2 linked regions of the Arabidopsis thaliana genome follow. The protein of the gene in region 1 interacts with the protein of each later gene in a biochemical or structural test. Each region holds a gene or a part of one and is shown in the gene's direction. Other genes may lie near its edges.

The links.
Region 2: of the proteins of CPK23 (region 1) and OZS1, one has a biochemical effect on the other in vitro, tested with the Arabidopsis thaliana proteins (one study listed by BioGRID).

Annotation. Positions count from the first base shown.
Region 1 is NC_003075.7:2,402,514-2,410,774, reverse strand, and holds CPK23 (calcium-dependent protein kinase 23), read left to right. Parts: upstream 1-2,037; 5' UTR 2,038-2,281; coding exon 2,282-2,951; intron 2,952-3,843; coding exon 3,844-3,987; intron 3,988-4,072; coding exon 4,073-4,225; intron 4,226-4,312; coding exon 4,313-4,425; intron 4,426-4,589; coding exon 4,590-4,757; intron 4,758-4,845; coding exon 4,846-4,973; intron 4,974-5,097; coding exon 5,098-5,197; intron 5,198-5,282; coding exon of another isoform or gene 5,283-5,369; exon of another isoform or gene 5,370-5,640; coding exon 5,641-5,680; exon of another isoform or gene 5,681-5,806; coding exon 5,807-5,892; 3' UTR 5,893-6,149; exon of another isoform or gene 6,150-6,306; 3' UTR 6,307-6,557; exon of another isoform or gene 6,558-7,002; 3' UTR 7,003-7,631; downstream 7,632-8,261.
Region 2 is NC_003070.9:4,256,768-4,261,371, reverse strand, and holds OZS1 (C4-dicarboxylate transporter/malic acid transport protein), read left to right. Parts: upstream 1-2,071; 5' UTR 2,072-2,122; coding exon 2,123-2,629; intron 2,630-2,704; coding exon 2,705-3,516; intron 3,517-3,593; coding exon 3,594-3,945; 3' UTR 3,946-4,104; downstream 4,105-4,604. Other genes in the region: AT1G12490 (F-box associated ubiquitination effector family protein), read right to left, coding at 1-406, 435-589; AT1G12470 (zinc ion binding protein), read right to left, coding at 4,171-4,347, 4,430-4,546. UniProt on the Arabidopsis thaliana protein: Slow, weak voltage-dependent S-type anion efflux channel involved in maintenance of anion homeostasis.

The DNA of each region.
Region 1 (8,261 bases):
TGACAAAAGACAGTAGAAATTGATGAAACTGAAAATTCCAATTGCAGTTCTAGTCAAATAAAACCTTGTCTAAGAGCATCATTAAAGGGAGGATATTAGGGAGTTTTTAGGTTTATAAATCATTAAATTTATATGTTAATTGATCAATTCAGTTTAGAGGTGGTTTAAGCTAAGAGATGCTCTTAAGCAAAATGCGGTGGTGACATGGAATAATTTGGTTGGTTGGAAGAAAAATATTAAACAAAAAAACATTTTTTTGCGTTTAATTATTTTTCTCCCCTCTTTCTCTCTTTCCTCGCGATTGAAGGTAGGAAGCAGAAGATCTCCTTAAAATCGATATGGCCGTCTCGCGTTCTCCGGTCCTGTGTTTATTAGACCCGGGCGTCCTCCCGATGTTAGCTCTCATCTCAACCGACTCTGGTTGTCCACGACCAAATCGACGAGAAATCAATAGTTAAACTTTATGTTTACATGTATGTTTAAAAAATTATTATGTCATCTATTGATCAAATTTAAGTTCAAAAAAATTTAAAAATTTAAAAATTAATTTTTTAAAAAACTCCAACTTAATATACTACTATTGAGGTTGCTAAAAAATTAAAAACTTACTAAAACTCTTAACAACAAAATTTCAAAATTTATTCATTAAATATGATTAATATCCTACCATTGAGGATGATCTAATCTTTTGTACAGAAGACCGCCTAAACTCACAAAAGACGTTGCCGTTTGTATGGTATCCATTAGTTAGCACCAACCCTCTTTCTCTAACGTGAATTTTCTGGCTCAACTTCAACTACAGCCACTTCTGCCTCAACTTCAACTACGGCGACTTCAACTTCAACTACAACCACTTCTACCTCAACGTCTTCCTCTTCCTATGGGCTTCCTCTTCAACAACGTCATGTGAAACCTCAACAAAATCCTGGTTCTGCACCTCAATTAAATTATGATTCCCACCACCTCCGTTCCCCCACCACCTCCATTGATGTTGCCATCCATATAAAAAAACAAACATAACCAGGCAACCACATGCGAACATCTTGCACAACTGCTCCTTTGTTATGATGTCCCGTGTTCACTGACCAAGCATTTGCTAAACTAATCAGATGGTTCCATCTAGATGCTGATAGGCGGCACAAGACAATCAAGAACTGTTCTTGTTCTTAATCAGCCATTCTACTGAACCAAAAAGTCAAAAATCAGCATATAAAACACGGAGATAAATTGATTTAACTGAAACAAACACAAGTCCACAATCTAATTGTCATGACTGAAACAATAACCCGTTTAGTATACAACTGAGTTTTGACAATTCCCAGACGGGAAGTAAACATATAACTTCACGGCGTCGTTGATGGTTACGTAAGAGTAATGATTCAGTGCGGTGCATGTGCATGGTATGAAAGAAGAGTTATTGTGTTTTTTTTTTAGATTTTGAAAATTACCTTATTTTTAAGTTTTTATTTGAAAAATATACATTTCTCTACTTTTAATAAAGATTAAAAAATTTAATATGTAAATGACAATTTTGTCCAAATTTAAAAGAAAAGCCACATTCTTTATAAATTAAAAACAATATTCGAAATTTAATATTTTAAAGTCTATCACTTAATATTTTTCACGTTATAAAAAAGATCAATCTTTCATAGATTGTTTTTCCTTTATCTTTTTTGTTCTTGGACAATTTTGTTTTAATATTTAAAATAAAACTGTTATCTTTAAAACTGTTAGTTATCAGATATTAATTCATGAGTTTTTCTGTTTTAATTTTATATTCTTTTTTATTATTACCAAATATTAATTAGTCTATTTTAGTAATTTTATATTGGATCATTGGCATTTTGCCTAACTTGTTTTAAGTTTAATTATTTTTCTGAAACTAATATTGGACCATTGACATTTTGCCTAACTTATTTTCTTATTTTCTTTTTGTCTTCAACATAATTTTTAACCAACCAATCTAAAGAATAAAGATTATAAACTGATCTCTTTGTAAGAAATATAAAAGAGTTATCTTTCTCTTATGACATCAATAATTCTAAGGCCCAATTAAGGCCTCCAGAGCAGCCCAATCTGAGATCTCGATATATTTTTTCCGGTATATGAAAAAAAAGTCCAAAATCCAGCTCAAAATTCAAATCTTTCAAAAATTTCTTACAGTTCGAGTCAAACATATACAATAATACAAACCACAAATGTGTTCTCAATCAAATTCCTCCAAGTTTATCTTCTTCTTCAATCCAAGAAGAAAGTCTACGAAAAGTCTCCTCCTTTACTAATGGGTTGTTTCAGCAGTAAACACCGGAAAACTCAAAACGACGGCGGCGGAGAAAGATCAATTCCGATAATTCCAGTTCAAACCCATATCGTTGATCAAGTCCCCGATCATCGTAAACCTCAAATCCCATCACCATCGATACCCATCTCAGTTCGAGATCCAGAGACGATTTTAGGTAAACCATTCGAAGACATCAGGAAATTTTACAGCTTGGGGAGAGAATTAGGTCGAGGTGGTTTAGGGATTACGTATATGTGCAAAGAGATTGGGACTGGGAACATTTATGCTTGCAAATCGATTCTCAAGAGGAAGCTAATTAGTGAGCTGGGTAGAGAAGATGTGAAGACAGAGATTCAGATCATGCAGCATTTGTCTGGACAACCAAACGTTGTTGAGATCAAAGGTTCTTATGAAGACAGACATTCTGTACATTTGGTAATGGAATTATGTGCCGGTGGAGAGTTGTTTGATAGGATTATAGCTCAAGGTCATTACTCTGAGAGAGCTGCTGCTGGTACCATTAAGTCAATTGTGGATGTTGTTCAGATTTGTCATTTGAATGGTGTGATTCATCGAGATCTCAAGCCTGAGAATTTCTTGTTCTCGAGTAAGGAGGAGAATGCAATGCTTAAAGTAACCGATTTCGGGTTGTCCGCGTTCATCGAAGAAGGTTAGCTATAGAGATTGATCTTTTATAGAATCATCTTAGGTTGATTTGGTATGCTAATGGTACGAATCTATAGATTGTCTTGCACAAGTCTCTTTAGTATCTACATTCATCTTAGGAGTTCACTGAATCGTGATGTCATATACTCTAGAATAAGAATAGAATGTTATGCATAAAGGAGTCCGATTTGAAATTGATAGGTGGTCCCTCCTCAAAGCCAAAGAGATGTGTTTTGTCTTAACACAAGAACACACAAAGTACCAAAGAGATAAACTCTGTTTTGTCAATTTTCAAGTCTGATTCCTTAACTTGACATTGAAGTCTTTAAATACACAAAAATAAGAAAGAAAATAACCACTAAATCTACTACTAACATCGTGGGGAGTGGAGAATACAATCCCATTAATTTAGGAGCCATAACAAGACCACATCTCTTTTCTATGACACCGGTTTACTCTGGTTATGTGCTTATCAGAAATGTTCTGTGTTCATTGAATAAAGTGAGCTCGAGATTGATCATATTCTTAGTGTATTGATGATTGCGTTTGATAGGTTTTGGGTCCTATAGGATTGTCTAGCACAAATCTCTTTTAGTATCAAGTACTTGTTTTCGAGTAACGATGAGACTGTTATGCTCAAAGCAATTGATTTTGGGGTTTCTCTGTTCATTGAAGATTGATCATATTCTTTCACGAATCGAAAATATGCACTTTGTGCTTTAATCATGAGCTAGATTGGTGACTTATGTTCCAATGCATAGAGATGGGACTCTACTCTTTAGTAATAGAATCAGGTTTATGTTGTCTTATTATTGTACAGATTTAACTATGTTTATGTTTTCGTTTTAGTTTATTTTGATTTTTATGTTTATCTGTTTGTGAAACCAAAATTACAGGAAAAATTTACAAGGATGTGGTTGGGAGTCCTTACTACGTTGCTCCTGAAGTATTAAGGCAGAGTTACGGAAAAGAAATCGACATTTGGAGTGCAGGTGTTATTTTATACATCCTACTCTGCGGTGTACCTCCTTTTTGGGCCGGTAAAAGACCTTTAAGCTAACAAAACTTCTTGATTTTTTCTTCTTCTTCTTAAGGTTTGATCTGTAATCATATGTTATTTTGTAGACAATGAAGAAGGAGTATTCGTTGAAATTCTAAAATGCAAAATTGATTTTGTACGTGAGCCATGGCCTTCTATATCTGACAGCGCGAAAGATCTTGTTGAGAAGATGCTAACCGAAGACCCTAAGAGACGAATCACTGCTGCACAAGTTCTTGGTAAGAGAATGTGAATACCAGTCTTGAGTTTATGGTCGTTTACCGAGTAATGCTTTACTAATATGTAGCAATCCTTATGGTTTATAGAACATCCTTGGATCAAAGGGGGAGAAGCACCGGAAAAGCCTATTGATAGCACTGTGTTATCACGTATGAAGCAATTCCGAGCAATGAACAAGCTTAAGAAGCTAGCCCTAAAGGTAATCACGTAGCTCAAAATATTATGAAATTAAATCTTTCTTTATTACTAATTATGCATCTCGCTTATAGTCTTTCCATCTCTTTGTGTTCTCTAATCAGTTGAAACATCTCATATCTACTAGTGCCGGAACTTGGGGATCTAATTTGTGTGTTCTGTTTGCAGGTTAGCGCGGTGAGTCTATCCGAAGAAGAGATCAAAGGTCTTAAAACCTTGTTTGCGAATATGGATACCAATAGAAGCGGGACAATCACTTATGAACAACTCCAAACTGGGCTAAGTAGACTTAGATCTAGACTCTCTGAAACTGAAGTTCAGCAACTCGTTGAAGCGGTAAGTTATCTTCAGCATCTTGCTTTCTCTTTTCCGCAATTAAGATCTTGAAAAAGACAGTTTGAAACACATGATGATAACTTTTCAGTCTGATGTGGATGGTAATGGAACAATTGACTACTATGAGTTTATCTCTGCGACAATGCATAGATACAAATTACATCACGATGAGCACGTACACAAAGCATTCCAACACTTAGATAAAGACAAAAATGGGTAAGTTTCTTACATTTTCAGTGTACGAATCAATCATTTCTTTTTTTTTGTCAAGAGGATTAAGATTCAAATGTGTGTAACTATTATGAGGCACCAATGTTAATGCTATTTGGTAATCCAATAGGCACATAACTAGGGATGAGTTGGAAAGTGCCATGAAGGAATATGGAATGGGAGATGAAGCTAGCATCAAAGAAGTTATATCCGAAGTTGACACCGACAATGTAAGTCGCACTCTCTAACATAATCCAACATCTCAAACAGTAAACCGGTGCTTGTAATGAAACCTTGAAAGGAACTATGTTACAGGATGGAAAAATAAACTTTGAGGAATTTCGTGCGATGATGAGATGTGGCACCACACAACCAAAAGGGAAACAGTATCCATTCCACTGACCAAGACTACATAGATCCAACGGAAAGTAATTCTTAAACATGGAAAACTCAAAACGACGGTGGCAAAAGATGAATCAACCAAGCCATCAACAGATTTTCAACACCGTCTACAAACCCAATCTCAGTTCGAGATATATCAATGGGAGATATATCGAATGGTTACAAAACTGGACAAGTATGTGCACAATACAGCCTTCGAATTCAGTCCTTCTCGCAATGAAAGTCAATATCTTGGAGTAGATGATGACTGAGAATTGGTGGACATTTTTAGGCTTTATCTCCAGTGGAAATCATGAGAGAGGTTGCGTTAGGTAAAATTGATAATATGTCGAGACAGATAGCAATCATGAGACTTTGTGATCACACTGCTTAGAAAGGGGAGATAAGTGTTTTAGAGATTAGAGAAATCCAGCCGTTGTTCATCTTTGGCCTTGCAGAAATAGGAGTTCCAGTGAACACATTCAAGCAAAACAATGTTCAGGAAGATGGTTTATATCTTCCAGTGCTTAACAATGCGGCTTGATGATAAAGATTGCCGTTTATAATCTTCTTCCAGAGATTTACAGAAACCTAGACTCACCAAGAGACTCGTTGGAAGATAACAATTGATGGGTCTTGGCACTTACGGGTGCGTTCTGTGCAGCAATTAATTTGAGATAGATCTCAAGTCACGCTGGATACTTTATGGAGATTGCATATAAGATGATAGATGAATACTTTATCCGAAGCTTTTTGTGAATTTCGCATCTGATTTCTATGAAATCGATCTTCTGGAATGAGGTAAAAAAACATCTCAATCCGATCATGTGGTTTGCTAATTCTGTCGAGAGTTTCTCTTTTCCATTGGTCGAAATCGATAAGATTGAATGGTAGAATATAACATATTTGTGTGTTTTTCGATTGAATAGTCTAACAAGGATTCTTGATTTGGTTTTAGGATGATGGATTCATGAAAGTTTTCTAGGTAAGAGATTTCAATCTCTTTGCGAATTTTAAGGAGATTCAGGTAAAAGAGATTGATTTGAAATGTTGTTGCATTATTCCATGTTCTATTGACTCCAAATCGTTAGTCAATTGCCTATTGAGTTGTTTAGGGATACATTGTAGAAGAAACTAGGACACCTATGACTGGCTTTACATTTTTGGTGCTTTCCATTGTGCAGCTTGCATGGTATTAAATCCCTCAAGGTATGCATTCTTTGTACTATTCTCCAATCTCTTAAGAGAATCTTATTGATTTGATGCACTTTATGTTATATGCTTCTGATTTGCCTTTTTCCTGCGTTTGTCAAATACTCAAAATATACAGAAATGATCTGAAAAGTCAAAGGAATTTGAATTTGAGTAGTTGTTAACTTAGTAATAACTTTATCTTGCATCTACATTTTCTCAACATCCTTAGGAACCCTTTGAGCATCAAAAACTTTATTACGACTCTAATGTACTATCCTGATGGGATGAATATAGAGATAAATCTGAGATTCTGAGGATCTGAGAAACAGATGTAGACCTGAAGAAGATGACTTTGGCGATATTGTCCAACTTCTATATGTGTTTTATTCTTTCAGTTTATAGCCATCATTCCTCATATGTACTTTATTGATGCAATCTATACCTGAAATCTTCTTTTCAGTTTGACGAGCACCAGATGACCAAGATAAAAAAAATGAGCAGAGGAATTACGGGTAGAGTCAGAGAGTTGCATTAGGCAAGTGCTTACACTTTGTCTACGTTCTTGAATCAGTAAACGATCTTGCTCAAGTCATGATGGATCTTTCTGCACTTGTGATAGATCAGGTAAAACTTGTTAAAATCCATATTCTCTTTGTCTAGCTTCCGAGTCTTCTTCCTTCGGGAAAAAAAATATTATTAAAAGCAACCCATTGTGTTGTAGCTACAATAGTTGATACGAAATTTGCTAGTGAGATGTTATGAACTGGACCAAATTTCACTTAGATCATGTATGTTATTGTTTGTTGTAGTCAAGTTTACCATACATGTAAAGATAACAGTTCTGAATATTGCTTATGTGTTTTGGATATGACACCAGTAGGATTGGTCATTGAGCTATAGTGGGAATCATTTCACTAGCTCACTTATGAATCTGTAATCTGCTTTTTCCTACTTGGATCTTCTCCCTTTCGTAATTGTAATTTTAAATAGTTGTGCTTTCACTTGAAAATCTTGAGTATAATGTTTCTCTTAAAGCGTTTTTGCTCCTTTTTTTTCTTTTTTCTTTCAGGGAAACTGGGACTTCGAGCAAGTCAGCTTATAAAGACTTCGTGAAGTGGCTTTGAATACAACAGTTCCACATATCAAGGACAAAGTTATGCTTTATGTAAAATTAGTATATTCAAACAATATAAATATCATCATTTCGGTCGATTGTCTTTCTAATTTAGGTAAAAGATTTCTTTTGTTGACAGCAAATTTTATTTAGATTTGATAAAAACAAATTATATAAAAATTTAGTAGAAATGGTCTATAAAAATTTTGTGTTGCTTTTAAACCGACGTTACTTTCATAAATTCTGATATTAAGTCAGCTTATAAGACGTCATTTGACAAACCTGGCTCTCTATACTAACGTTAGTCATAAACCTTTAGTATAAATGACGTTAACCTTCCATTTCATGTTTTAAGAGGAAATTTGTTCAAAATTAGATGATATTTTTAATTTTTAATATAAATTAGGGATTAATTAGTTTTTTTATTAGTTTTGGCGATTTATATTCGGCAGATTATTTTTTATTGGTTGAATCATATTTGAATAGATAATAAATGATGTTTTACTTTACAAATAAAAAAAAATTAAATGATTTCTTAATCTGTGTGTGAAAATTATTTTTTAAATGATTTTTAATATGTGTGCATTATTAGAAGATTATTTATA
Region 2 (4,604 bases), on another chromosome or scaffold:
AGTAGCGTTTTCAAGGCCAATTTCTAAAGAATTGTATAACCAAACGGGTTTGTATGTGCCCGTGATTTTGTCTTTACCGAATCCAATATCACAGACTGTGTATCCAAGCTCGAAGACACTGCGACCTAAGCTGATAAGGAGTTGTTGTAATTGAGAGAGAGGAAGAGGGCGATACCATCTAGTGGTGGGATTGACCACATAACCAGATTTCCAGTATTTGTAGAGACAAACGAGACCGTCACAGCTATCAAAAGAAACTAAGAAGAATTCTTCGTCCTCCTTCTCCTTCTCCTTCTCCTTCTCCTTGTCCTTCTCCCAAGGTGTAGGGATGGTGACCGATGATGATGAACCCAACACCAGTGTAGTTAGATGTTTTAAATCCGGGTTAAAATAATCCTCACGACTTCTGGAGACCATGAGAAGAGCTGGATCACCTGATTGCTGACGCTGTGTCAATTGTCTTTGTTGGAAGAATGGAGATTCGATCGATGATTTCCATTGTTTCGATACAGCCGTGAATCTCAGCAGAGAATCCACAGCAAGTCTTCTCTAGGATGCGCTCTACGACCTCGTGGGGCAGCGATTCCATCCTCAAGCAGCGTTGCTTTTTTGACATTCTTTTTGTGATTGTTTTGTTGAACAGGGGCTTGCTTATTTATAACCAGGAAAAGAATAATTCTTCTTTATCCTTGATTTCCTTTTCCTTAAGGAAAAAGGATCTTCCTAACCGCTTTGAACCCTATCTCTCTGTTTTTCGGTTTTCCCTTTTACTTCTAGGGTTTTCATAAAGCCTTGGAACCCAATTACGTGTTTTAAACCGACGGTCATGATCTTGTCTTCAGGATCAGATATATATTATTCGACACATCGTGGGACCCACCACTATTCTGACTGGGTCTGCCTGCTTTCCGGTTGCTTCCAATAATGTCGAACCAAAAAGCCACGAACGCTAAATAAGAATCTACTTTGCAAGTCTAAGAGATTCATGCAATAATTCTTCACTAATGTTGTGGGTTTTGAAAACATTAGGTATTGCAAGAATATAGATTTTGTAAACACACCCTAATGATCTCAAACCTTATATATATGGTTAACAATCTAATCCCATAAGTATTCCCATTTCACAACACTCATATATTGTTAGAGCTATATGAAGTAAGGTTACATTACAACTTTTTGTTTACTATAAAAACAAAAACTACAGGCTATAAATGCCAAGGTTTAGAACAACTTAGGGGCGTTACTCTTACAAAACTTGTGGCGGTATAGTGGTCATCTCTGTGGCAATCTACCTTCAATGTGTGAGGGTTCGATCTCAAGCTTAGCTTATATTTGTAATTTTTTATTAATCAACAGTCCGAATATTGTTTTAAACCTGATTCATAAACAAACATTATAAATTATAAATTATAGATTGTATCATATTATTCAAGAAGTTGTGAAAATAATCACGGCTTATGTGAGTTTGTCTTATGGTCCTATGACTCCTAATCCATGCGAGGCTATTTGATGATTTATTATATCACTTTTGTATTATTTTGAGTTCATTGATCAAAGTTTTTTGTTTGGATAAAGGGAAAACGTAAAGCATTTTGGAACGAAATTCATAGAAAAATCTCTTACAAAGAAGAAGAATATATGCCATTCATATTTCTGCACATATGTTTGGTTGCTTTAATCTTTCGACCCCTTTTTCCAAAATGTTAGTATTATATGTTAAGTTTATAAGTTTTAACCAAACAAGAGGAGCTAACAGAAATCGAATTAACGACTCAAATTATGTTTTGTATAGAAAAGAGCAAATTGACTTTGGTTGCATTTGAATCTCGTGACTAATGGAACGGCCTTTTTTTTTTTTTTTTTTTCATCGTCTCTCACCTTTTCCAAGTAGTTTGGATCGAAAAGCTTTCACGAGAAACCTAAGAAACTTTCCAGGAAAGTTTTGGTTCACATACGCATTAACTCACACCATTCACCAAGCTTTCTCGTGCCCCTTAACCACAAACTTTGCTTTTTTTAACTTAGTCCATTGCATCTTTCTATATACATTAACATGTTTCCTTTCCATACTAGAAGAAAAATATCTTCTCTTGTGTTTCAAATTATCAAATTGCTCTGATCAATGGAGAGGAAACAGTCAAATGCTCATTCCACTTTCGCCGACATCAATGAAGTTGAAGATGAAGCAGAGCAAGAACTGCAACAGCAAGAGAACAACAACAACAAGAGATTCTCTGGAAACAGAGGACCAAACCGAGGGAAACAAAGACCATTCAGAGGTTTTAGCAGACAGGTTTCGCTAGAGACAGGTTTCTCAGTGCTCAACAGAGAATCTAGAGAAAGAGATGACAAAAAGAGTTTACCGAGGAGTGGTCGTAGCTTTGGCGGGTTTGAATCAGGTGGAATCATCAACGGTGGAGATGGTCGGAAAACAGATTTTAGTATGTTTAGGACTAAATCAACGCTCAGCAAACAAAAGTCTTTATTGCCTTCTATAATAAGGGAGAGAGACATTGAGAATTCTTTAAGAACTGAAGATGGTGAGACCAAAGATGATTCTATAAATGAAAATGTTTCTGCAGGAAGATACTTTGCTGCTCTTAGAGGACCTGAATTGGATGAAGTCAAGGTAACAACTCTTCTTCTTTCTCTTTCTCTCTTCAAAACTTAATTATCAGTTAGTTCCAATTGTACTCTCTTGCAGGACAATGAAGATATTCTGCTTCCAAAAGAGGAGCAATGGCCGTTTCTCCTAAGGTTCCCAATTGGATGCTTCGGTATCTGTTTGGGACTTAGCAGTCAAGCTGTCTTGTGGCTTGCCCTAGCGAAAAGTCCTGCAACAAACTTTTTACACATCACACCATTGATTAACTTAGTTGTATGGCTATTTTCACTGGTAGTTTTAGTCTCTGTGTCCTTCACTTACATACTCAAATGCATCTTCTACTTTGAAGCTGTCAAAAGAGAGTATTTTCATCCTGTTCGAGTCAACTTCTTCTTCGCTCCTTGGGTGGTTTGCATGTTCCTAGCCATTAGCGTACCTCCCATGTTCTCACCAAACCGAAAATACCTCCATCCCGCCATTTGGTGTGTTTTCATGGGTCCTTATTTCTTCCTCGAGCTAAAGATCTACGGGCAATGGCTTTCGGGAGGGAAGAGGCGACTATGCAAAGTCGCAAACCCATCTTCTCATCTTTCTGTTGTAGGGAATTTCGTCGGGGCCATCTTAGCTTCAAAAGTTGGATGGGATGAAGTAGCTAAGTTTCTATGGGCAGTAGGTTTTGCACATTACTTGGTTGTGTTTGTAACACTTTATCAGAGACTTCCCACCAGTGAAGCTCTTCCTAAAGAGCTTCATCCTGTTTACTCTATGTTCATTGCTGCCCCATCAGCAGCAAGTATTGCTTGGAACACGATATATGGCCAATTCGACGGATGTTCAAGAACTTGCTTCTTCATTGCACTCTTCCTATACATATCCCTAGTTGCTCGGATCAATTTCTTCACTGGATTTAAGTAAGTCCATCTCGGGTTTAAATATTCTTGGTTGAAGATATATGTTGATGATACTAAGTGGCTACGGGGTTTTGCAGGTTCTCAGTGGCGTGGTGGTCATATACTTTTCCTATGACAACAGCATCCGTAGCAACAATAAAGTATGCAGAGGCAGTACCTGGTTACCCGAGCCGGGCTCTAGCACTCACTCTTTCCTTCATTTCCACAGCGATGGTCTGCGTTTTGTTTGTCTCCACGCTTCTCCACGCCTTTGTCTGGCAAACGTTGTTCCCAAACGATCTTGCAATTGCCATTACAAAGAGGAAACTTACCAGGGAGAAGAAGCCTTTTAAAAGAGCTTATGACTTGAAGCGCTGGACCAAGCAGGCTCTGGCGAAGAAAATATCTGCAGAAAAAGATTTTGAAGCAGAGGAAGAGTCGCATCACTGATGTAAAATCATGGAATACAGAAGTATCTTTTAGATCGAAATAATAGTTCAGAAAAACACTTAGATATAGAGACAAAAGTAGGTGAGATAGCATATTGTATGTATCTCCAGAAGCATGTTTAATAGTAATACTACATCAATAATACAGAACCCAAAAATCACATTCACATTTCAAAGCTAGCTGAAGAAGAGATCACACAAGAAAGAATTCACGGTTTGACATGAATCAAACAGGCAAAGAAATGGTCCTCTGGTTTGCTAAGTTGGTCTCTGATCGGAGGTCCCATGAAGTAGAATACTGTGAATCCTCAGGTTTAATAAAAGGCAGAGTGATCTCATTGATCATTAATTCTCCACAGAACGGGCATTCGCTGGCAATAGCATCATCTAGCTCTGATCGAAGCTGCCTCACCGTAAAGAAAATATGTCAGGTCACAGAAAAATGTTAAAGAAAAGATTAAAAAAGGAAAAGAAAATGTCCCTACCTTGTCTGCAGTTGTTGTGCTTGTTATGGGTTCATCAGATCGGTTACCATTTATATCCCTCCGGGTTTCGCTTCCAAGCAATGTCAGTTGCTTCTGCAGATCGAGTATATGCTCGGCCTAGACAGATTTTGGGAAAACCAATCAAAAAATGGAATCACAATAACGAACAAATATT